Linked DNA regions of Canis lupus familiaris. The protein of the gene in region 1 interacts with the protein of each later gene in a biochemical or structural test. Links are inferred from orthologs where the notes say so. Each region holds a gene or a part of one and is shown on either strand. Other genes may lie near its edges.

The links.
Region 2: the proteins of ASF1B (region 1) and CHAF1B form a complex in vitro, tested with the Homo sapiens proteins (2 studies listed by BioGRID and IntAct). The link is inferred for Canis lupus familiaris from reciprocal best matches to the Homo sapiens genes ASF1B and CHAF1B.
Region 3: of the proteins of ASF1B (region 1) and TLK2, one has a biochemical effect on the other in vitro, tested with the Homo sapiens proteins (3 studies listed by BioGRID). The link is inferred for Canis lupus familiaris from reciprocal best matches to the Homo sapiens genes ASF1B and TLK2.

The regions. Positions count from the first base shown.
Region 1 is NC_049241.1:48,793,860-48,801,579, reverse strand, and holds the start of ASF1B (histone chaperone ASF1B), read right to left. Parts: upstream 4,942-7,720; 5' UTR 4,474-4,941; coding exon 4,365-4,473; intron 1-4,364. UniProt on the Homo sapiens protein: Histone chaperone that facilitates histone deposition and histone exchange and removal during nucleosome assembly and disassembly. Cooperates with chromatin assembly factor 1 (CAF-1) to promote replication-dependent chromatin assembly.
Region 2 is NC_049252.1:31,270,608-31,278,178, reverse strand, and holds the start of CHAF1B (chromatin assembly factor 1 subunit B), read right to left. Parts: upstream 4,616-7,571; 5' UTR 4,508-4,615; intron 4,023-4,507; exon of another isoform or gene 3,978-4,022; 5' UTR 3,968-3,977; coding exon 3,842-3,967; intron 2,816-3,841; coding exon 2,683-2,815; intron 583-2,682; coding exon 465-582; intron 1-464. UniProt on the Homo sapiens protein: Acts as a component of the histone chaperone complex chromatin assembly factor 1 (CAF-1), which assembles histone octamers onto DNA during replication and repair.
Region 3 is NC_049230.1:16,118,000-16,124,217, forward strand, and holds the end of TLK2 (serine/threonine-protein kinase tousled-like 2), read right to left. Parts: intron 5,912-6,218; coding exon 5,804-5,911; intron 3,831-5,803; coding exon 3,657-3,830; 3' UTR 2,735-3,656; downstream 1-2,734. UniProt on the Homo sapiens protein: Serine/threonine-protein kinase involved in the process of chromatin assembly and probably also DNA replication, transcription, repair, and chromosome segregation. Phosphorylates the chromatin assembly factors ASF1A and ASF1B.

The DNA.
Region 1 (7,720 bases):
AAATTTCTCTCGTGAGCCTAGCTTTGCTGGGTGACCCTGACCCTGCATCTTTGGGATAACTTGGGGATCTCAGAGCCTGAGGGTGAACCGTATGGCAGAGGTTGAATTAGGAGCCACGTGACAGAGGCGTGCAGAGGAGGGACAGCAGGGAATTGGGCCATTTCAGGGCCCTGCCCACTGGGTGCTGGGATAGGAAGCAGCATCCTCTTTCACACACAGGGACCGGTGCCACCAAACTGAATAGATCCCTCGACAACTGGGGCAGGGCAGCAGATTCCAATCTAGCAGGAGAGCCAGCCGGCAGGAGGGGGAAGACGAGGCCACAGGGGGAGCCAGCCAGTCTCCAGGTCTTCCAGTTCCAGCACCAACTCATGCCTACTTTCAGACATTTGGGTGACAGCGACTCAGTCAACAAATGTGGCATCCTAGGGTGATCCTCTGAACCCCGCCTCTCTTGCATCCCAACAAAGTGGTGGTGGTGGGGAATCTCATCCCTGAGTATGTTCCAGCAAGGTGAGAGGAACAGTGCTGAAGGAGACCCTGCCCATCAAGTACAGGAAATTCCCGGTGACCGCTGCCTCTTGCAGGAGGTCCAAGTGTATCAGGGGCAAGGTCACGCTAGTACAGGGAAGCTTGGCAGGAGACCTGAAACTTATTTTAGGTTCTTTGAAATTACACAACCTGTGGCTCCAGCGGCTGGAGGAAATTTCACAAGCTATGAGTTTCACAGGAAGCAAAGTGTTGTTGAAGTTGCCCTGGTCTGGTGTCCCACAAGAGCATCCAACTTGGTAAACACCGCTATGCTGGGCCACAGCTCCGGAGGTTTGTCACCCGAGCCCCAAGCTCTTCCTCGATACACTGATTTCCTGTTCCTTTGCAGTGTCACCCAGGTCTTCTATGCAGGGACCCTAGTTAGCAGGTCTGGGCCATACAATGACCCATGGGCTCACCGGGGTTCAATTCTAGTCTCTTATTATTTGCAGGAACCAGTTAAGTTTACTGATTTATCTTTGTTACAAGGAGTGACATGACTAGATAAAACATGTTTCTGGGCGAACAAAAATCAAGCTGGCTCTGTCCTTGCCTTTCTAACACAGTTCTCTATTTTGGTAGCTTTCCTCCTGGCCTTCCCTCTGCCACCAGTGGAGTCCTATATGTGTGCATTTAGCTAATGTGCTGGGGCAGCAAGGGGGGGGGGGAGGTAGATAAAAAGGGCACCAAAGTAGAGCAGGCCCTGCGTTGGCCACGGGCAGTGGATGTTCGATACCACTGGCAAAGACTGGTGTGGTGTGGGTGCCACCAGGAGGAGAAAGCGCACTGCGCCGGCGGCCAAATGGTCTGCAATGGCTCCCTCAAGAGAGGCCGAAAAGAAACCAGAGAATTGACCGAGGGCCACAGAGAAATATTGACTCAATGGATAGGGGAGCTGATACAGTCATCTATGGAAAACAGCAGATGCTTGAAAATAAGGACCTAAAAACTGGATTGCCTTAAACTTGCTGAAGCGTTTTTAGTAGAAGCATACTTAAGTGGCTCCATTTTTAAAATATAACCACGGATGTCCATCACGAGTACAGCACAAACTCATTCCTTCTGAATACAGGACGCGATTGTACATGCATAACACGGTGTGCCTAACTTTTTAGGCAATTTCAAGGGTAACTTGACAATATTCAATTTTGTCTTTAGGCCCTAACTTTGCAATGGAACAGTCAACAACATGTTCTTCCACTATGTACGAAAACAAAACCAAAACTAACAACCTGATCGAAGGCATGTAAAAGTTCATTTTCATTGAAGTAGCTGGAGAATGTTTCCTGCCTTAAAACAAACAAACCAACACAAAAACTATCTAGTAGGCTTTTTTCTATTTATCACTTTGCCAGTGTTCAGATGATATAGATGAATCTTGGCCTGCCCACGGTGTTAGCTGTGGGTCAGAACATCTGGTTTCATGACTTATTCAAACAGTGGCTGTTGAATTTCTCAATGGAAGAGAGGAAAAACACATCTAATGTATTAAATGTGGACCCATGCCTAGGAAGCATCTATTTCTAGATGCTGAGGAGAAAAAAGAACCCCTTGGGAAATAGAATCAGTCACTGATTGGGGGTTGGGTCTTTTGTCAGAGCTTCAGTTGCTAGCGTCAAGGTAACGAGACTGAGATTTCTCCAGAATCTGAGAGACTTCTAAAGCCAGGCCCCCTCCATCTCTTTGGGAGGCAGGAAACGGATTCTCTCTGTTCCATGGGAAGAAGGCCAGGAATAGGCAGAAAGCAAGTTGGCAGGTCAAAGTCATGGACAGCCCTAGGGGTAGAACCAGAGTCTGGATTTCCAGGCCAGAGTTTGCTTTCCAACTTCCATTTCTCTGAGCAAAAGCTTTATTGTCTGGGTGTAATTAATAGTAGCACTCCCTTCATTTTCTTTTGAGAGCGTCCCAACGTGGAAATCAATTATTTGGTCAGTTTTATTTATGCTCCACTTCTAAAATAAGGGATGAAGGGACACCTGAATGGCTCAGTGGTTGAGCATCTGCCTTTGGCTCAGGTTGTGATCCTGGGGTCCTGGGATCAAGTTCCACATCAGGCTCCCCACAGGAAGCCTGCTTTTCCCTCTGTCTCTCTCTGTGTCTCTCACGAATAAACAAAAAATCTTAAAGTAAAATAAAATAAAATAAGGGATGAATTCTTTTTTTTCCCAGGTTATAATAGCAAAGGTAGAGAATTCTGGACTCAACTCAGAGACAAACTCTAGTGTCATTACTTCTACAGATAGGCTGTGTGACCTCAGAGAAGTCAGCCCATTTCTCTCTATTAAAAAATAATGACCAGCAGGTTGACTTTTGACTTTCCTGCTCTGAGTCTATAAACAGATTAGTAAAGTAATAGGGCAGGGGTTTTCCTAGGAATAGAAGTACTAGATAATGACTATGCAACCCTTTTTAAATGCAAGGAGCACAAACAGGCTGTTTGAAACCTGATATCCTGCCTTCTGGGAACTGTGAATCCCTTAACCTATTAGCTCCTTACATCTCCTGTCTTTAAAATTAAATTCTTATTCCACAGTGTCATTCTACACTTTAATTATTTATTTACACCCTGGCTTGTTCCAGAAAGGATTTAACTGGGCTTATTCTATAGTTAGTCACAAGTAGATTCCTTAATTTAAAAAGGAGAGAAGCTGAGAGACTGATCTATTGGCCCAGGCCAAAAGCACACACATCTCAAATTTTATCAACCCCAAACTAACACAAAAGGCTGGCTTTTCCCACAAACCACCCACCTACCACTGAGGGGCGCTAGTTAGCACACCATGGCCTCATAGATCCCCATCTCCCCAGCTGCCTGCTGCCTCTTCTTTAACCACCAAGTGAAGAATCTGTCTAATGGAGTACTTCCTCCTGAAAGTGGTGCCAAGAGTCCCTGGGCAACCTTAGATTTTCGATTTTTATAGACCTTTACTTGAAAGGTCTTTCATTCTTTGTGGTTCCTGTCTTCTCATCTGTGAGATGAGAACCATGTCCACCTTTATAACGCACAGATGAATAAGTCCATCTGTGAAAGCACCTTGGAAAAGATTCACAAAAAGTTCTGACCTCCCAGCCGATTGTTTGAAGCCAGATACCGTCATGGCTCAGCCTGGCCCCAACTCCCAGACTGGGTCAGCCCATCAAAAGTGTGGGAAGAACTGCTGCAATAGATCTGCTGGAACCTGGTGGGCAGACAGTGGGAACCGGCTGATGCTTGCCTGGTGTTGCCACCCTTCAGATATGAGCGTGTTTATCGAAGCACACAGACAGGAGGGAGGCACGGGAACTGGGGAGACCAAGTTATCCTGAAAGACTGGAGCTGGAAACCTGCCGTGCTTCCCCCCGTGGGCGCAAGCTGGTAAAACTGGGGCCAGGATAAGGAGGTGGGAAGCCAGGGTCCAGGGTATGTGCTTTGGGGGTAGAAAACAATCCGAAGTGGGTGGGGATGGGGTTGTTTTAAATATCATGCGGCTTAGGGAGGGGAGACCGGCTGTACGGAGAGACAAATGGGGAGATGGGGACGAGTAAGGTCTTGCCACGAGGGAAAGGGATCTCATAAGGATAACTGTGAGGGTCAGTCTGGGTGACTGGAGGTCTCCGCAGGTCAAAGAAGCTCCACAGGAAGGGGGAGGGGGGATGAGGAGGTCTCCGCGGGAGAAATGGGAGTAACCGTGGGGCGGGGGCGGCTTGGCCAGGGGTGTCAGGGGCAGTCTCTCAAGGAGGCTGGGGCTGAAGGGGAGGGGAGGAGGGGAATGGGGGGGGCTCGTTTCTCGTGGGAAGTCTGGGAAGGTGGGGAGGGGTGGGGGAGGGGTATCTCCACACCGGCCCAGCCTCACCGTCCGCCAGGGCCTCATTGCACTCGAAGCTGATCTCGAACCGGAAGGGGCTGTGGAAAGGGCTCGGATTCTCCAGCACCGCCACGTTCAGCACAGAAACCTTGGCCATCGCCTCGCCGGGCCGCGGCAGAGGCCACAGCTGGGGCCGAGCCCGCGCCTGAGTCCTCTGCGGTCAGCGGGGTAGCGTTACTCCCTACCGCTCCCGCCTCTTCTGTCCGCCGACTGAAGTGCGCCTTCGCTCCGCGCGCCTCCTTCAAATAGCCGGCCCCACCCTCCGGCCAATCACCGTCAGCGCTCGCCGACGGCGCGAGCACACCCTCAGCCAATCGTGGAGCGCGGGTCGGCGCGCGCCGAGACTCCTCGGGCCAATCCGTGGGGCTCCCTCGCCGGGGTGCTCAAGGGAGGCGGAATCATTTCTTGGCTTTTTTGGGTGTCCAGCGGGAACCAATCCCCAGCGTCTCCGACTCGGATGTCTGGGGGCGGGGGTAGACGGAGGCAGAGCGCGAGTCTCCTCTCGGCCAATCCCAAAGGTTCCCGCACCGGCGTGGTGCGCGCTTCGCCCCGCCCTTCCGGGGGACGCAGCCCGGCGGAGGGCAGCTCCGCCAACCGCCTAGCGGTGGCGCGCGGCGCCCGCTTAAGAGGGCGGGAAGGGCGGCGCTGGCTCTCGTGGTGATTGGCAGGCCGGCGTCTGGCAGGGCGGATGCAGATTCTCTGCGACGTGATTGGCTGGGTTGGTCGTGGGGCGGGAAGAGAGGAATACTTAGCTGGGGATTCGCCGCCCAGAAGCGGAAGTCGGCTGCCGGCGTGCTTGAGCCGCGTGTGGAGAGAGAGAGAGAGAGGGAAGGAGGAGCGTTTGTCGCCCTGGCGTCCGTTCGCAGGTGAGCGTTGCCGGGACCTTCCCTGAGGGACTCCCGGCCCCTCAGGCCCAGCGGCGGGGGAATCCGTTGTGAACGTTGGTCGCACCCCTGAGGGGAGACGGAGCGGCGGTCACGCGGCACTCTGGGACCGTGGCCCCGGGAGTCGGGCCCGGTTCGAATCCCGCTCTCGCCTCCTCGAGGGCCACTGGGAGGTTTCAGGTGGACGGCGCAGTAAGGAGGAGGACTTGGGAGTCCGGCCTCTGCCACTCAACTCCCGGGGCCACAGGCGCCCCGCCCCGGTGAACGGGGCCGTTGAAAACTCCCTGACTTGGCTCGTGACTGCATAATACAACCAGAAACTTGTCTGCACCCCTCGTCAGGGTCTGACTGCCGTCGCGCCCGGCCTGGGAGACCCCGGAGCCTCTGCCTCCACCCGCGACCCGTGGAAAGTTGACCCGAGCCACACTTCTCGCTTCACATTTTTCTAGCGAGCACGTTTAAGAAAAAGTAAAAACAAAAAACAAACAAACAAAAAAAAAACACCACAACGGTGAAATTAATGTTTTATCTTTAACCCAGGATAGTCAAGATCTTATGCCCACATACAGGTATAAAAAATACAAATGAGCTTTCTTCCATTCTTTTACTAAGTACCAAGTCTTCGAAATCCCGTGGGTTTTCCGTTGCAGCCACATTTTCTTTCTTGTTTAAAAAACTTTTTTTTTTTTTTTTTTTTTAAGATTTGTATTTATTTATTCGTGAGAGGCAGAGACACAGGCAGAGGGAGAAGCAGGCTCCCTGTGGGGAGCCCAATAGGGGGATGCTATGCCTGGACCTGGGATCATGACCTGAGCCAAAGGCAGATGATCAGCCACTGAGCCACCCAGGTGCTCTGTGCAGCTGCATTTTCGTCTGAAATAATCAGTCTGGCTTTAGTTTTCATAAAATTGGCAGTTGAAAATGTAGATCCACAGGCCCACGCTGTCTGTTTCCAACATGCTTACAAGTTTTCCAGGAGCTGGACTACATGTCAGGGTTTTCAGTGTAAACGTTAATCAGTTAGAATTCAGTGGGCGGGGGGGGGGGGGGGGGTGTGCCTGGGTGGCTCAGTCGGTTAAGCATCTGCCTTCAACTCAGGTCATGATCCTGGAGTTCCAGGATCGAGTCCTGCATCAGGTTCCCTGCTCAGCGGGAGTTTGCTTCTCCCTCTACTCTCATCCCATTCGTGCTCGCTCTTTCTCTTTCTTACTCTCTGTGTCTCTCAAATAAGTCTTAAAAAAAAAAAAATTCAGTGAGGGGGCAAGTTCTGTGCTGCAGTGGCACCATCTGCATGCAGGTGTTCATAAGCCCCTGTGGCAAGTGGCTGCCGTATTCCTGGAGAGTGTAGGACTGAAACAAATTGGATCACTCTTAAATGTGAGTTTATGAGTTTTCTATTCTTTGGATGGGAATACTGTCAGTATTGTCTTGCAGACTCTACGTGGTATGTTTCTTACTGCCCACTCCTCCCCCTGCCTCCCACTTCAGTTCAGCCAAACTGTCTTTTGGTTCCTTACAAATCTGACCTGGCATTTCCAGTGCGGAACCCCTACCAGAACCTCTTCTCCCTGCTCTTGGCATGGCTGGTGCCTTCTTGTCATTCAGATCTACCTGTTCACATGTGCTTTTCTCAGAGAAGCCTTTGCAAGGGTCCCCTGGCCCCAGTTCTGTCTTAGAGTGTAGGCCTGAACAGCACCAATTCAAGCCACTTGCATTTCTTACCTGGCCACCTCTGTGGTGGTGGTATAGTCATAAAGCCTCATGATGCTAGGCACTTTTTTGGGTGGAGGGAGGATATCTACATTTCACATTAAGTTTAAAAAAATGTTTTGTGGTTAAAAATATTGACAGTTTTTCCTTTGAGGTGATTTGGCTTTAGGAAGATCCCCGTTTATGATTAGCTATGATTTCTTGGCAGCCGTTGGGCATACTTGTGAGTTTTTGTGACTGAAAAAATCTAATTTTCAAGTTATTTCCAAATGTAATTCAACTGTTTATGTGAATACTAAATTTAATGAAGTTGCCATGATGTAATTTTCTAAGTATTTAATTAAATACTTATTCGTTCCAACTTTGTGGTTTTCTTTCTGCGTTGTGGAATCCCCCCCCATGCACCCCTCCCCAACCTTTTTGTACCCCCTGAGAAGCTCATCAGCCACAAGCACTTTGGGTGCTGATGAAGAAAATGGCTCTCTGCCTGTAATGAGTTCTCCATACAGCTGGCTGAATAATCTTCTATTGTAAACCAGATCATGTCATTACCCTGCTTAAAACCTTCAAAGGCTTATCATACTTAGAATGAAACCTAAGATCTTTACTGTGGCTTAGGAGGCCCTGCATGGTGACCTCAGCTGACCTCTCAGGCCTCATCTACCAGTCTTCCCCTTGTCACCACTCTCCAGCCTTCCTGGCCTTATTTACTGTCTTTAACACACCAAGCTGATTCCTGCCCAGGGTTTT
Region 2 (7,571 bases), on another chromosome or scaffold:
AATGAGAGAAAAAGGCATAAAAAGTCTACAGGCAACCTCAGAGACCATGGATTAGGATTTCAGAAATTTCCACTGGAACTACATTACCCGCAGCTACGATCTGCTACACCTTCAGGGGGTAGTCGTATCTTTATAATGAATTCAATCTAAGGAAAATTTTACAGCAGAAATAAAACCCATTTTGGGGCACTTGGGTGGCTCAGTGGGTTAAGTGTCAGACTCTGGGGTTTGGGCTCAGGTCAGGATCTCAGGGTCGTGAGATCGAGCCCTGTGCTGGGCTCCAAGCTGGGTGTGCAGCCTGCTTGAGATTCTCCTTCTCTTTTACCACCCACTCCCTCTCTAAAAAAAGAAAGATAAGTAAAGAAAAGAAAAAAGAACTCTTGTGAGTTCAAGACCCAATGCATGTAGTTGAATCCATTTAGAGATGTCAGATAAAGCACTCGTCTAGCCCCTCCCCAAGTTACCTCAGGGTTTTCACAACAGTCCAATTCTCCTTATTCAGCTGAGCCTCATCCTCATCCTGGAAAGCAACCTGTTCTGGCTCCTTGTTGTCATTCACCTTCCACAACAGAATGACAGCATCTGCGGAGCAATTTGGTTACAGATGAGCCATGGTTTTTGCAGGCTCCCTCCTTTCTGGGCTGCTACGGTGTTAAAACCCTAGTTACGGGCAGCCCGGGTGGCTCAGCAGTTTAGCACCGCCTTCAGTCCAGGGCGTGATCCTGGAGACCCGGGATCGAGTCCCATGTCGGGTTCCTTGCAGGGAACCTACTTTTCCCTCTCCCTGTGTCTCTGCCTCTCTCTCTCTCTCTCTCTCTCATGAATGAATAAATAAAATCTTAAAAAAAAAAAACCAAACCCTAGTTACATTGTCCAACAGATACTGTGGTCACAATGAGTGACTTGTAAGAATCTGGACAATCTGCCTTCTAATCTAAAACTCCAAAATCAAACTGATACCCGATCAGAGCTATACAAAGGCCTATTAAACAGAAGGGTCCCCAGGCCAGCAAAATACCGCTGCAGAGCAGCTGACTATGTTAACACATCCTAAGGCATAACCCAGGAGCAGCTGAATAGGCGGAAACAAAGAGCCACCAAGCAAGGATTGGCAAATCGTTCCCAGCTATGTCCGCAGGCCTTAGCATCTAGACTCCTCAGCTACCCCATCTGTAAAATGCATACCTACCTCACGGACTATCTAGAGTCTAGAGTATTGTCTACTCTGTCTAGAGTATTCGATAAGTTAATATGTATGAAGCACAACATGATGCCTAGCACACAGTGAGCCCACGGACACATCAGATATCTCAGCCTGTTGTCATCAATTGTCTGGGGGCTCTAACTCCCTGTGCTGGGACCCCAACTCACCACACAAGTCGGAGCCCCGTGCAGCTTCACTCTGAGTGCCAGCAGGACAGTGACTGAGCTGGCTGTATGGGCACAAGTGTGCTCACGCTAAGCTGTAATCCTGGGAGCTGGGTGAAGAGATCAGCCTCGACATTGACAGGTGGACACTCTCCACTGCTAACAGCAGGTTTCTGACCCTCTAGGGCCAAAGGACTTGGCAAAACGAGAGCTCCCCTGTGCAACCTCACAGAAGATAGCCTGCCAGCCTCCCCCAGTGACGCTCCCCACCTTCCATCTCTCTGTGCCACACACTCTGGACATTGTGGCACTGGACTTAACCAGATCTCTTTCTTCCTTCTGCAAACAAAAACCTGTGATGTGTTTTATTTTGTACTAACTTCTAGACTGTTTCGGTGTCAAAACACAGTAAAAAAGATTTACTTTTTTTTGTAGTAGTTTAATGCCATTTAAACACAAGCAGAAAATATGAATCATTCTACTTCCACCAAGCAAACATAAATTAGAGGGCCATTCAGATAATACTCCGTCAGGTGAATTAATTAATTACACAGAGGGGATCCCTGGGTGGCTCAGCAGTTTAGCCCCTGCCTTCAGGCCAGGCTGTGATCCTGGGGTCCCAGGATCGAGTCCCACATCAGGCTCCCTGCATGGAGCCTGCTTCTCCCTCTGCCTGTGTCCCTGCCTCTCTCTTTCTCTCTCTCTCTCTAGACAATACTCTAGACTCTGTGTCTCTCATGAATAAATAAGTAAAATCTGTAAAGAAATTAATCACACAAAGACATGGGAAAGACTATGATCACTTGGATACTAAACCAGCAATCAAACAAGGCCAGGAGGGCTGCATTGGGACTTTGACAAAATGGTAAGCACCTTCCTACTGGTCCCTACGAGTGGGGTGGAGGAGCGGCCATTTATAAATAGCTCTGCTCAGGTTAAGCTTTTGGTCCTCCATCCCCTCAAGCTCCTCAGAACGCTATTTTACTGAACTATCTAAATGACGGATTGAGGGTGCCTGGATAGCTTAGTCTGTTAAGTGTCTGCTTTCAGCTCAGGTCATGACCCCAGAGTCCTGGGATCCAGTCCGACATCATCCGGAAGCTTGCTTCTTCTTCTACCCCTCCCCCCTGCTCATCAACTCCCTCTCTCTCTCTCAAAAAATTTTTTAAAAATAATAAATAAATAAATGACGGATCGAGAGGTCAAGTGACCTCAAAAATCAAAAAGCGTACCTAGCTCAGATCTCACTATTTAACACGAGACAGAACGGTATCTGGTTTCTAAGGAATTGTGAAGGATAATACTAATACTCACCATCTCCTCCTGATGCTAAAATTTCCCCATTTGGAGAAAAACGCACGACATTGACAGCTTTGGTATGGCGAGCAAGGTTGGACAAAAATTCAACAATGGCCTTTCCATCGGGTCCTTTTTCCACCTTCCAGATCTGTCGATAACCAAAACGTTCATTCCGAGACACACAGAGTGAATACCTACCACACTGTTAAACACTATAAACACTTACCAAAACAATACCAGGCTAGTTTTTGGGAAGGAAATAGCTTTTCTTTGGATACACGTAAAATGGAATTTCCATCTGATATGTCGACAGTCCCATGACTTGCTACCCTCCCTCCTACCTCTTTCTGGGGCCAAGTGTTCCCACTAGGAACTGGCTCAGGATTTTTTTTTTTATATATATATACAAAATTTATTTATTTATTTATTTATTATAGTCACACAGAGAGAGAGAGAGGCAGACACATAGGCAGAGGGAGAAGCAGGCTCCATGCACCGGGAGCCCGATGTGGGATTCGATCCCGGGTCTCCAGGATCGCGCCCTGGGCCAAAGGCAGGCGCTAAACCGCTGCGCCACCCGGGGGATCCCTGGCTCTGGATTCTAAAACGATCTGCATCGGAGGCACCTGGGTGGCTCAGTTGGTTGAGCACCTGCCTTTGGCTCAGGTTGTGATCCCAGCCTGCTTCTCCCTCTCTCTCTGCGTCTCTCATGAATAAATACATAAAATCTTTAAAAAAATAAAAATAAAAATAAAAATAGGGCAGCCCGGGTGGCTCAGCGGTTTAGCGCTGCCTTGAGCCCAGGGCCTGACCCTGGAGTCCCAGGATCGAGTCCCACGTCGGGCTCCTTGCATGGAGCCTCCCTCTCCCTCTCTCCCTCTCTCATGAATAATTAAATAAAATCTTAAAAAATAATAATAATAATCAAATAAGGAGCATGCAGTGTATCCATCTAGGAAGCACTGGCCAAGGAATAAAGCTTTCTTGTGCCCTCACGGTTCAGTCGCGGGCCTGAGAACCGGTCTGCAGCCTGGGCTCGGGGGCAGGGCGGCCTGAGTCTGCAGACACAGGTTTTGAGCACACACAGGAAGGGAGGCCCTAGGGCGCTTCAGCGGGGCCTCCCCGGCCCGCCCCGCCCCGCCCCGGCCCGCCCCGGCCCGCCCCGGCCGCTCACCCTGACGGCGGTGTCCACGCCCGCCGACGCCAGCCTGTGGATCCTGCCCGCCGCGCCGTGCTGGAAGTCCAGGCTGTACACCGGCTCCTTGTTGTGCCAGGCTATTTCGCAAGTGATGACTTTCATGCTGCCGGGTCTGGAAGGGGCCGAAACAAATCCGCCCCCGAAGGCGGAGGAAACGCTGAAAGCCGTCGGGGATGAAGGGAGTGTTAGCGGGGGGCAGGCGCGGGGAGCCCGCTCGGCAGTCAGGGCGCCGGGGACCGGGACGGGGACGGGGACGGGTGGCAGCGTCGCCCTCTCCCCGAACCCCTCCGCAAGGGCACCTGAGCCGGGGAGCCGGGGAGCCGGGGAGCCGGGCCGAGGGAATCCCGGGCCCCGCCCTGCTGCGCGGCCGCCCCGCTCCGTGGGCCCGGGGCGCTCCCGGGGAGCCAGGCGCCGCCCGGGCAGGGGCTGGGGCTGCGGCCGCCGCGGGGAGGGGCTCCCGGAGCGCTCGGGAAGCCGAGACCGGGCCCGGCCGGGAGGAGGCCGCACGGCGCCGCCCGAACGCGCGCCGCCCCGCAGCTCCGCCCGGCCCCCGGCCGCCCGCCCTCAGCGAGACCCTCTCGCCGCCCGTGCGGCCCCAACGGGAGGCCGGGGGCCGCGGGAGCCAGCGCCCGGGAGCAGTACCTGCAGGGCCGCGGTCGCTCGGCTGCGCCTCCAGCTCCCGCCGCCGCTTGCGCTTCTTCCCGCGCGCCACAGGCCCCGCCTCCTCGTGGGCGGGACTTCCGCGGGGCCCGCCCCTTTGTGGGAGGGGCTATCCTCCCGCCCCGCCCCCTTGTGGGCGGGGTCACTCGGCGCTCCGCCCCCTGCCCCGGCCCGCGGGTGCTCGGAATCCCCGCCGACTCCCGCCGATATAATTACGTGCACGACCGAGGCCTCGCGGGGAGGAGTGGATGAGTTCATCGACCCATTCATTCAATCATTTCTTCCCTTCTCCATGAGTTCTTTCAGCAGACATTTACTGGGCATCTGCAGGATGCTGGACCCTATTCCGGTGCTGGATAATAGGGTTTTTTTTAATTTATTATTATTTTTTTTTAATAGGGTTTTTTTTTAAAGATTTTTTTTTTTATTCATTCAGGATGAGACACACACACACACACACACACACACACACACACACACACACAGAGGACACAGGCAGAGGGAGAAGGAGAAGCAGTCTCCCTGCAAGGATGCCTGATGTGGGACTCGATCCTGGGTCCCCAGGATCACGCCCTGGGCCAAAGGCAGGTGCTAAACCGCTGAGCCACCCGGGCTGCCCTCCGGTGCTGGATATGCAGTGAGACTTACCCTCCGGGAGTTCACAGTCCAGTAGAAGGAAGAGTGGTCCTATCACCCAGGTGGGGAGGCTGGAACTCTGAGACCCGCCCATGACCATCCCTTCTGTCACAGGTGCTCTTTCACAGCGAGTGTCTGTGACCTGCATCAGGCCCCGTCGCCCTCTCTGGAGTTCCAAGCATCAGTAAAACACAGAGAGTGTTTACGGGCCTCCTGTAGTCAGGTACATTTTTTAAATGTAACTTTAAAAAAAAAAGTGTGGAGGGAAAAAGGGAGTGTGGAAGGAACAACGTGCTCTCTACAGTTCCGAGGGCGCGCTTATTTTGGATTTGAAGGCTCAAGGCAAGTTTGAAGAGAAGAGGGCATTTAAAATGGGCTTGGGGGGTATCTGGGTGGCTCAGTGGTTGAGTGTCTGCCTTCGGCTCAGGTCGTGATCCCAGGGTCCTGGAATCAAGTCCCGCATCAGATTTCCCACAAGAAGCCTGCTTCTCCCTCTGCTTATGTCTCTGCCTCTCTGTGTTTCTCATGAATAAATAAAATCTTTTTTTTTTTTTTTAAGGGGCTTCGGGTAATAGAGTTTTGGATGAGCAGCTCTGGGAAATGGGAATTTAAGCTAAAGAAACTCACAATTGACAACAGAGGCACAAAGGGGGAGCAGTGGGATCCGTGATGGGAAAGGGTGGATGGGGGCAAAAGCCCAGAAGCATTCAGATGTGAATGAGCAGGTCCAATGGATATATGTGTCTCAAAGGCAATTTTCTCATTCTAAATTAACTGGAATCCAGTATATGTTAATCTGAGAGCTTGGTTAAGACAAAATGACAGATGGACTCTCTTCTTGTGCTAACAGCAGGTTTCTGGGGCTTCAAGACCAAGGGACTTTGTAAAACAAGTGCTGCTCTGTGCAACCTTGAAGAAGAGAGCCTGCCAGCCTCCCTGGTGGCTCTCCCACTTCCCACCTCTCCCCTCTTCTCCCTCCCTCCCTCCCCTTCCGCCCCCCTCCCTGGGCATCACTGACCTTGAATTTAACCAGGTTTATTCTTCCTTTTGCAAACAAAAATTGAGAATTTTGTTTCTTATATATACTGGCTTTTAGAACGTTTTGGAAAGTTCATGCTATGGGGTCATTCTATACCTGGATTGCTTACATTATACTGCAATGAGCAGATAGGGTCATAAACACTTGTTAGAAACACAATTTAACATTTTCAAGTAAGGTTGTAAATCAGAAGGCAGAACTAGATGCAACAGGATTTTAGAAGTGGGATAATTTTCCAAATGGGACAATTTATCTGTGAGCTTCTCGGAAGGCCAGGAAACAAATACCTTGGGATGCATAGCTTTTACTTGATAAAAGGAACATTTAGGCTCATCTGAGGAACCAGCTCTTCTTTTTTTTTTTTTTTTTTTTTTTTTTTTTAGGAAAAAGAATGACATGGATTCTTATATAAATGCTGGTTGATGCTCTTAGCCAATTTTATGAAAGGTATAGAAGTTGTCTGTAAATGGATGTCTCATATTGAAGGGAATGACTGGAGTCTCCTTAAGCCTGACTTCTACAAGGAAGCTAAGATAATGTGATCCAGATACGTAGCTTTTAGATCTTCTCTCTTAAATCATGGCTAAGACTTTGGACTGGGAATGACTAATGTAGATAATCTGGCTGTTTTAAAAGTACAGATTCCTGGCCCTACATAGGCCCACTGATTCAGAGTATCCAGCAGGAGGCGCTCCTGGTAGGGAGGCTGCATTTTCTCAAGATCCCAGGTGAGTGATAATCAGTCTGGTCTGGAACCAAGGGTTCAATGTCTCTGATAACCACCAGGTGTCTCCACATTTCTGACAAACGCTGTTGATTCTCAGATGACTCCTCTGACCATCTCCTTTGAGTGCCAGGATTCTAAACTATAGATTAAAAAAAAATAATAAAAAAAAAAGACACAGGTTTAGATACTAAATATACATGAAGGAGTTGGCTTTCTTGGTGAAAATCTGGGGGGCTTGATGTCAGTGCCTGCCTGGGGAGCCACATGGTGGCCCAAAGTGAGGATCAAAAATTAAAAAAAAAAAAAAAAGTTGTCAAGTTTTCAAAAAAGAAGTACGGAAGGAAAGTGTTTGCTGGAGGAGACCTCAGAGATTTGCACCAAGTTCTACTGCAAGTGATTCCAGCTAGATGTTTCAACAATCAATGAACTTTACTTTGGGCCTCAAGCACTGATTTTAGCACAACTGCATCACTCTAAAGGGACCACGGGTATTTGGTTTCCTGAGAACTTTTTTATAGTGAAAATTAATATAAAGGGGCTAACTCTTAATCTGACTGCGAAAACAAAGATTTCTCTGAATGCACTTTACTATTAGTTTCCTTTTCTAAGTGTGAATACTCTGGAATAATCTGAAGTCAGAATAT
Region 3 (6,218 bases), on another chromosome or scaffold:
CCACTAGCAAACTTGATGGGTTCAGGCCCAGCAATCTTTCTTACTGGATCTTGTGATCTCTCTGTAAACCACATTTTTTGATTCCCCTCTTACATGCCAGGCATTTTATTATACCCTATTTCTACTCCTTACAACCATGCAAGGAATCATCCCTGAAGCTTGCAGAGGTAGGATCTGAACCAGACCTACTTCTAGAGCCCAGGTTCTTAACCTCCAGGTAATTCTGCCTTAAGAAATTAAAACAGAACAGCTAATTTTAGGAAGCAGAGACTCCCCCATACCTCAACTAGTATGTGTACCATGTCTCTCCACTTACCCCAGGGCTGATTTTAATTATAGACAGAGCAAGCTTGGGCAAGCAGAATGGTGAGTAAGTGGGGGTGGGGGTAGAGATTCTCAGAAAGCAAAACTCACCAAGGTGGGGGTCAAGCTAGTTGTAAACTTTGCCTTCTCAGAAGCGAGGAGCTGGATTCAATGCTTACTTCTAGCTCTAGGATTCTACAAATGACTATGTTTAAAGAATATTATTTTCTAAATTAAGAAACACAAGAGCTCCTTGCCTGCTTATCTTCTCAGCTGAAGGAAAACCTATCCTCAGTGCTAGAGGAAGGAGGGCCACAAATCCTCTAAGGCAGTTAGCCGGTGTGTCTGGGTCAGCCACAAAAGTGGGGTATGCTTGGCTCTCAAGGGCAAGTTTCATGTAGAGCTGCCCCATCTTCTGTTGGGGAAGTCGGAGCCCAATTCCCTCCCATCAAAGACCTGTTTTCCTTCCCTTCTTGGGGCCCAGAGCCTTCACCCCTGGATTGTGTGCTAACAGCTAGGACTTCCCTGTCCTATTCACTGCTGTCTTCCCACCAACAAGCTTTCGTTACTGGCACAGTGGAACTACAAAAGGTGTTGTAGGAATCAACACATTGCCAACATGCCTGCAAAGTCCACTGGGACTCAGCTGCAGGATTTCCCTACCTACTCACCCCCCTGGATGCTAAGAACCCTGTTTAAAGCTGAAGAACTAGAGTAAAATCAAGAGGCTGGGAGATTCACTTCTTAAAACTTATTTTAATATCCTTCCCACCCACCCCCACCCCCCAAGTTGGGAAAGTCCAAAACAGTCTGGCTGGGTTTAATTACAAATTAATACATTTTTTTTTGTCATTGTTGAAAGTAAATCAATTGTGGCAATAAGGGATTATCCTTGGAAAAAGTGAAACCCATATTAACAAAATGTCATGGAAGAACCCCACTTAGTGATTTCATTGGCTACTGAAAAATCTAGAAAAAGTCCACATTCTGCATGTTCTCTGGGGCTAGTCCATGTAGTGGAAAGAGGCCTTGCCCAGACTCAAGCAAGCCTAGTGAGCTCCAACCAGGCCCTAGACCCAAGGGAATTGAGGAGAGAGGGCATACCTTCTTCAGGACGAGGGCAGAAAAGGTAGATCAACAAATAAAGTCCTGTAGCTCCACTTACAAGCCCATGGGGAGAAGGAGGCAGGAAGTTAGAGGGAAGGCTTAAAGATGCAGCATTCTTTCAACCTTAAAAAAAGGTTTTTTGTTTTGTTTTGTTTTTAAAAAAGGTCTTGCAAGATCAATGACTGAGAAGAAAAAAACAAGGAATAGAACTTAATACTCTTGAGTTAGTCTCGACTCATCCATCTCTTCACATATGCACATACCATCCTTCCAGGGCTCCGTTCAACCTCTGAGACCCACAGGGACCTCTGCTTAATAGCTTGAAAGTCATGGTTAAAAAAAGGTACTCCCTCCCACACATGTATATCAAGTATGTAACAAGTGTATAAACACAATAAAATGGAAATCTGGCGAAAAAATTATCTGTGATAACTTGGAAAGCTGGGGGTACCAAGGGCTCCGGGACTGACTTCCTTCCATTCAGAGTTCTGTAAGATAGTCCCTACCTGGCATAATCTCTCCAACTGGGATCACTCCATCCTCCCCTGAGATCACCTGGCCTTGAGGGGACTGGGGCAGGGCAGAGCCACAAAACCAACACAGGTGCCAGTGAAAGTGTCACCAGTGACATTTTTCACACTTGAAAGAAGGCTAGAATTATTTGAGAGCTCTCTACCCTTCCTGACTTCCCTCCCCCTGCCCAGGGAACTTGCATGCCTGAATGCTGCATCTTTAAATATTTCTGGCTGAGCCCTCTTGCCACATATGTCAGTAACATTCCAAGCTGGCTACCACATGCTCAGGCTCTGGTCTCCTCCCCTCTCTACTGTTGAGTGCTCTGCTGTTTCAAGGGCATGGTGGGGCCATGCATCTCCCATTTCAGCTCCGTCTTCAGTTGATCACACATCTCAGAAACAACCAAATGGAAAAAAAAATAATAAAACCTTAAGTTCCAAAAGAATGTTCATATTCAAAATACCTATCTCCCTGCGATTCTTTAACTCCACTTGATCATTCTATTAAAGTGAGTTAGACAAAGCGTGTGTGCATGTGCACATGCACACACAGACACACACACCAGCACACACCCACAAAATTTAGAGGGTTGGAGGTTGTTTCCTGCCAAAAGATCTAACAGAGGAAAGCTTATGAGCTGATCAAGTTTTAATATCGTGGTTAACAAGAAAGGTACACCACTTAGCAAGCACACAGAGACCGTGGGTAGGACCTCCTGATCCCTGGAGCATCTGGCTCCCTGGCCCATTTTCTGCCTACCTCTGGAACAGTTTTTCATAGTTACTACATTCAGAGAATCCAAGAGGACTGCATGGACAGATGAACCTTTATTTAAAAAAATAGCACTTCAAATAAATTAAAAGGGACAACCGTCAAGTGTTCAAATTGTGAAGAGTTGAAAACCTAGAGACTCCAAGCTGCGGGCTTCTAACCTCGTTCTTTGTCCGACGGCAAAAGCCCCACACACCTCAGTCCTCCCACTCGATGCTTTCCCTGCTGAGATGAGGGAAGCGATTGCAAACAGGAGACCAGACGGAGGAGAAAGCTGCATCTGACTGGAATGAACATTGCCACGTACTTGCTAATACGGGTTTCACTTTATGACCAAATGTATTCTTTCAAAAATAAAAAAGAGGGGGGGAGGGGAGCTGCATGTTTTTAAAAATTGAAATTATTTAGGGATAAAACACTAACTCTAGTGCCTTTAACGGGCAATAGCAACTTTTTTCCTCCGAAGTCAAACACCATCCCCAGCTGAGCCTTTGTGCTACAAGCTTTTCAGGAGATGTTACCTAAACTTTATTAAAAGAAAAGAACAAGTTTAAATATAGACACTGGACTAGCCCAGTCTGTATTTTCAAGTCCACATTCTTCATCTGAAGCACTGCATCAGGGACCCCCCTGAGTCTGCATGTTTTCAAGTTCACAGTACATGGAACCAGTTTTTCTTTTTAATTTTTTCCTCACTCAGAGCAGCCACACATAGTGGCCGTTGACGCCGGAACCTCGGGCGGGGCCTTTTCCTACGAGGCCTGGCCAGAGCTGCCCAAGGTTTCTCCTCAATGAGAATCGATGCTGTCATGCTCTATGGATGGGAAAAAAGCAAGAAAATAAAAGCACCTGGTACAGGTTTCATGAGATCCATTCGGATTCGCTATGTTCCAAACCCGCTGCTGAATGCCATTTGTCCACTTGTGTGTGCTGAACAGTTCACGGCCTAGGAGTGGGTCTCAATTTGAAGAACTATTATTGGACGCCCCTGATGTTGATGCGATAGCAGCTCCAGCAGGGCTACTCGTGGAGACCGACTTTCGGATGTGAGGCAGCAAGTAGGGGTCACAGGCCAGCTGCTGAACGTCGATTCGGTCCTCCTTTCGGTAGGCTAAGCATCGTCGAATAAACGCCTGAAAAGAAAGATTCATGAAGAAGCCTGAGGCACATAATCATGGCGCCCCTGGGGTGAACCCTGAGGCTCTGCAGCAGCTGCCAGGGCCCAGGGCCCGGAGCTGAAGTCTTCTACAGAGAAGGGGCTCCAGGCCCTTCCCAGGAGTCACTGGGCACACGCAGACAGGACCAGGCAAGGAGATGCACGGGCAGCAGCACCACTCCGTGGCCACAGACTACTTCCCCGAAAGAGGTGGCCAAGCCATTCCTGAGGGGAAACAGGGCACCACCTGACCTCTAAATATCTCTGCTCCCAAAGCACAAAGACCCACACAAAAACCACTCTTTCTGCCTTGGTCAGTTTACCCAGGCACATCTACTCTCATGGTCCTGTGTGTACAAACCATAGCCTCATGTGAACTTTCTACTTCCTAAGGAAGTGAAAACTTGTGATGACAAGCCACCACCACAGAGAGGGTGAGGAGACTGACACTAACACTGCAGTGTGTCACAGATTGGTGAATCTTATTCTTGCTTGAAAGATCATCAAGCAAATGATTAGGTGCACACACACCTAGGTAGTAAAGGAAAACCTGCATAGGACTTGTCTCCCCACGAGGACTACAGACCTGGAATCATACAGAGTTTGGTTTCATTCAGAATCCTAATTGACTACCAACATGGAAGTTTCCTTGTGCTAGGTGTGAAGGGCCCCACTGGCTCAGTATTTACAATTCTTATCACAAAGGCCCTCAAGCAGATGATCTAGCTTTTCCTATTTTTTAAGTAGAGAGTTCTGTTTAATCAGAGTCTCCTAATTATTTTAAATAAATGAACTGATTTTTAAAAATCTAAAATGTCATTATCACCTTCAGGCCATACTTTATATTTGAATGATAATAATGTTGTAATATAGGTCTATTGATTATAACCAATGTCCCACTCTGGTGCAGGATGTTGACAGTGGAGGAGGCTGTGCATGTGGAAGGACAGGGAATACATGGAAACTCTTTACTTTGTTCAGTGTTGCTGTGAATCTAAAACTGCTCTAAAAAATACAGTCTAAAAATATAGTCTAAAAAATCCATTAAAAATATAAACATGAGATGTAATGATTTTTCTTTTTCCCATGTTTAATTAATAAAGGACAAAAGTATAGCAACAATCCTGGTTTTCCCAAACCAAAAACACCTATAGGTAGCTGCTTGATTCAAGTCACAGAAATAAGCTTCATGATCCTTGGCCTTAAAAAATGAATGCTTTCTGGGATGCCTGGGTGGCTCAGTGGTTAAGCGTCTTCCTGCCTTTGGCTCAGGGTGTGATCCTGGGATCCAGGATTGAGTCCCACATTAGGGTCCTTGTGGGGAGCCCACTTTTCCCTCTGCCTGTGTCTCTGTCCCTCTCTTTCTGTGCCTCTCATGAATAAATCAATAAAATCTTAAAAAAAAAAAAAGAATGCTTCCTAGTGAGATGTGAAAGGAGAGTTAAATGAATTACCTTAGGTTGGACAAGATAGTTACTGGTCAAATAATTCCATCTTGCATTTTTTCTCTACACAGGCCTTTGAAACGGCAATCAGATCACATAGCTGTCCTGAGTAACACCTTCAAGTATTTCCATCTCAGTTTACCATCTGCCCTGCTACCTCTCCTACCCACCACCCTTCCCTCCGCTCCACCAGCTCTGTGGATCTGCTAAGCTTGCACTTGCATCTCAGCTTCACACATTTCTCTGGCTTAGAACATTCTCCCAAACCTACACATGGCTTATACCTTTCACATCATTCAAGACTGCTCAACATATCACTTCACTGAAGCCTTCCCTGACCAAGCCAGCAAAAAATGAATTCCCGCCCCTCCATATCCTTTCTTGCATTTATTTTTCACCATCTAAGATGGATCTGTTTATACTGATAATCCATCCACTATTACCCAGAGAACTAATACAGAAAGCAAAGCAGTCGTTTCCTGCTGGCCAGTGGGTTACAGCTTACCTTTGCTTCTGGTGTTACTACTGGCTTTGGCGGGAACTGCACTTCAGTAGCTTTAAGAATCGTATTTTCTTGTAGAATATCTTGCTGGGACTGGTTGTGGCCAAAAGGCTATCATACAAAAACAAAACAGAGGTGGGCCTCTTGTTAAGATGAAAGAGAACACAATTCAAAACCACGGAGAAGGGAAAGAAGACATGCCTCAGTGAGAACTGCTAGAAAGAACTTCGAAGATGGTCTCCTCTAACTCTTGCTTTTTTCAGGTGAGGGGTGGAAAGGTTCAGAATTGAAGTAACATATTCACGGTGCAACATCAAGATTAAGGCAGAGCTGGGACTAGAAGCAGCATCGGCCATGTCATAACACCTCTGTTCAGCTTTGCTTATAGCCAAGAACATTGCAGCAGGAACCAGCAACC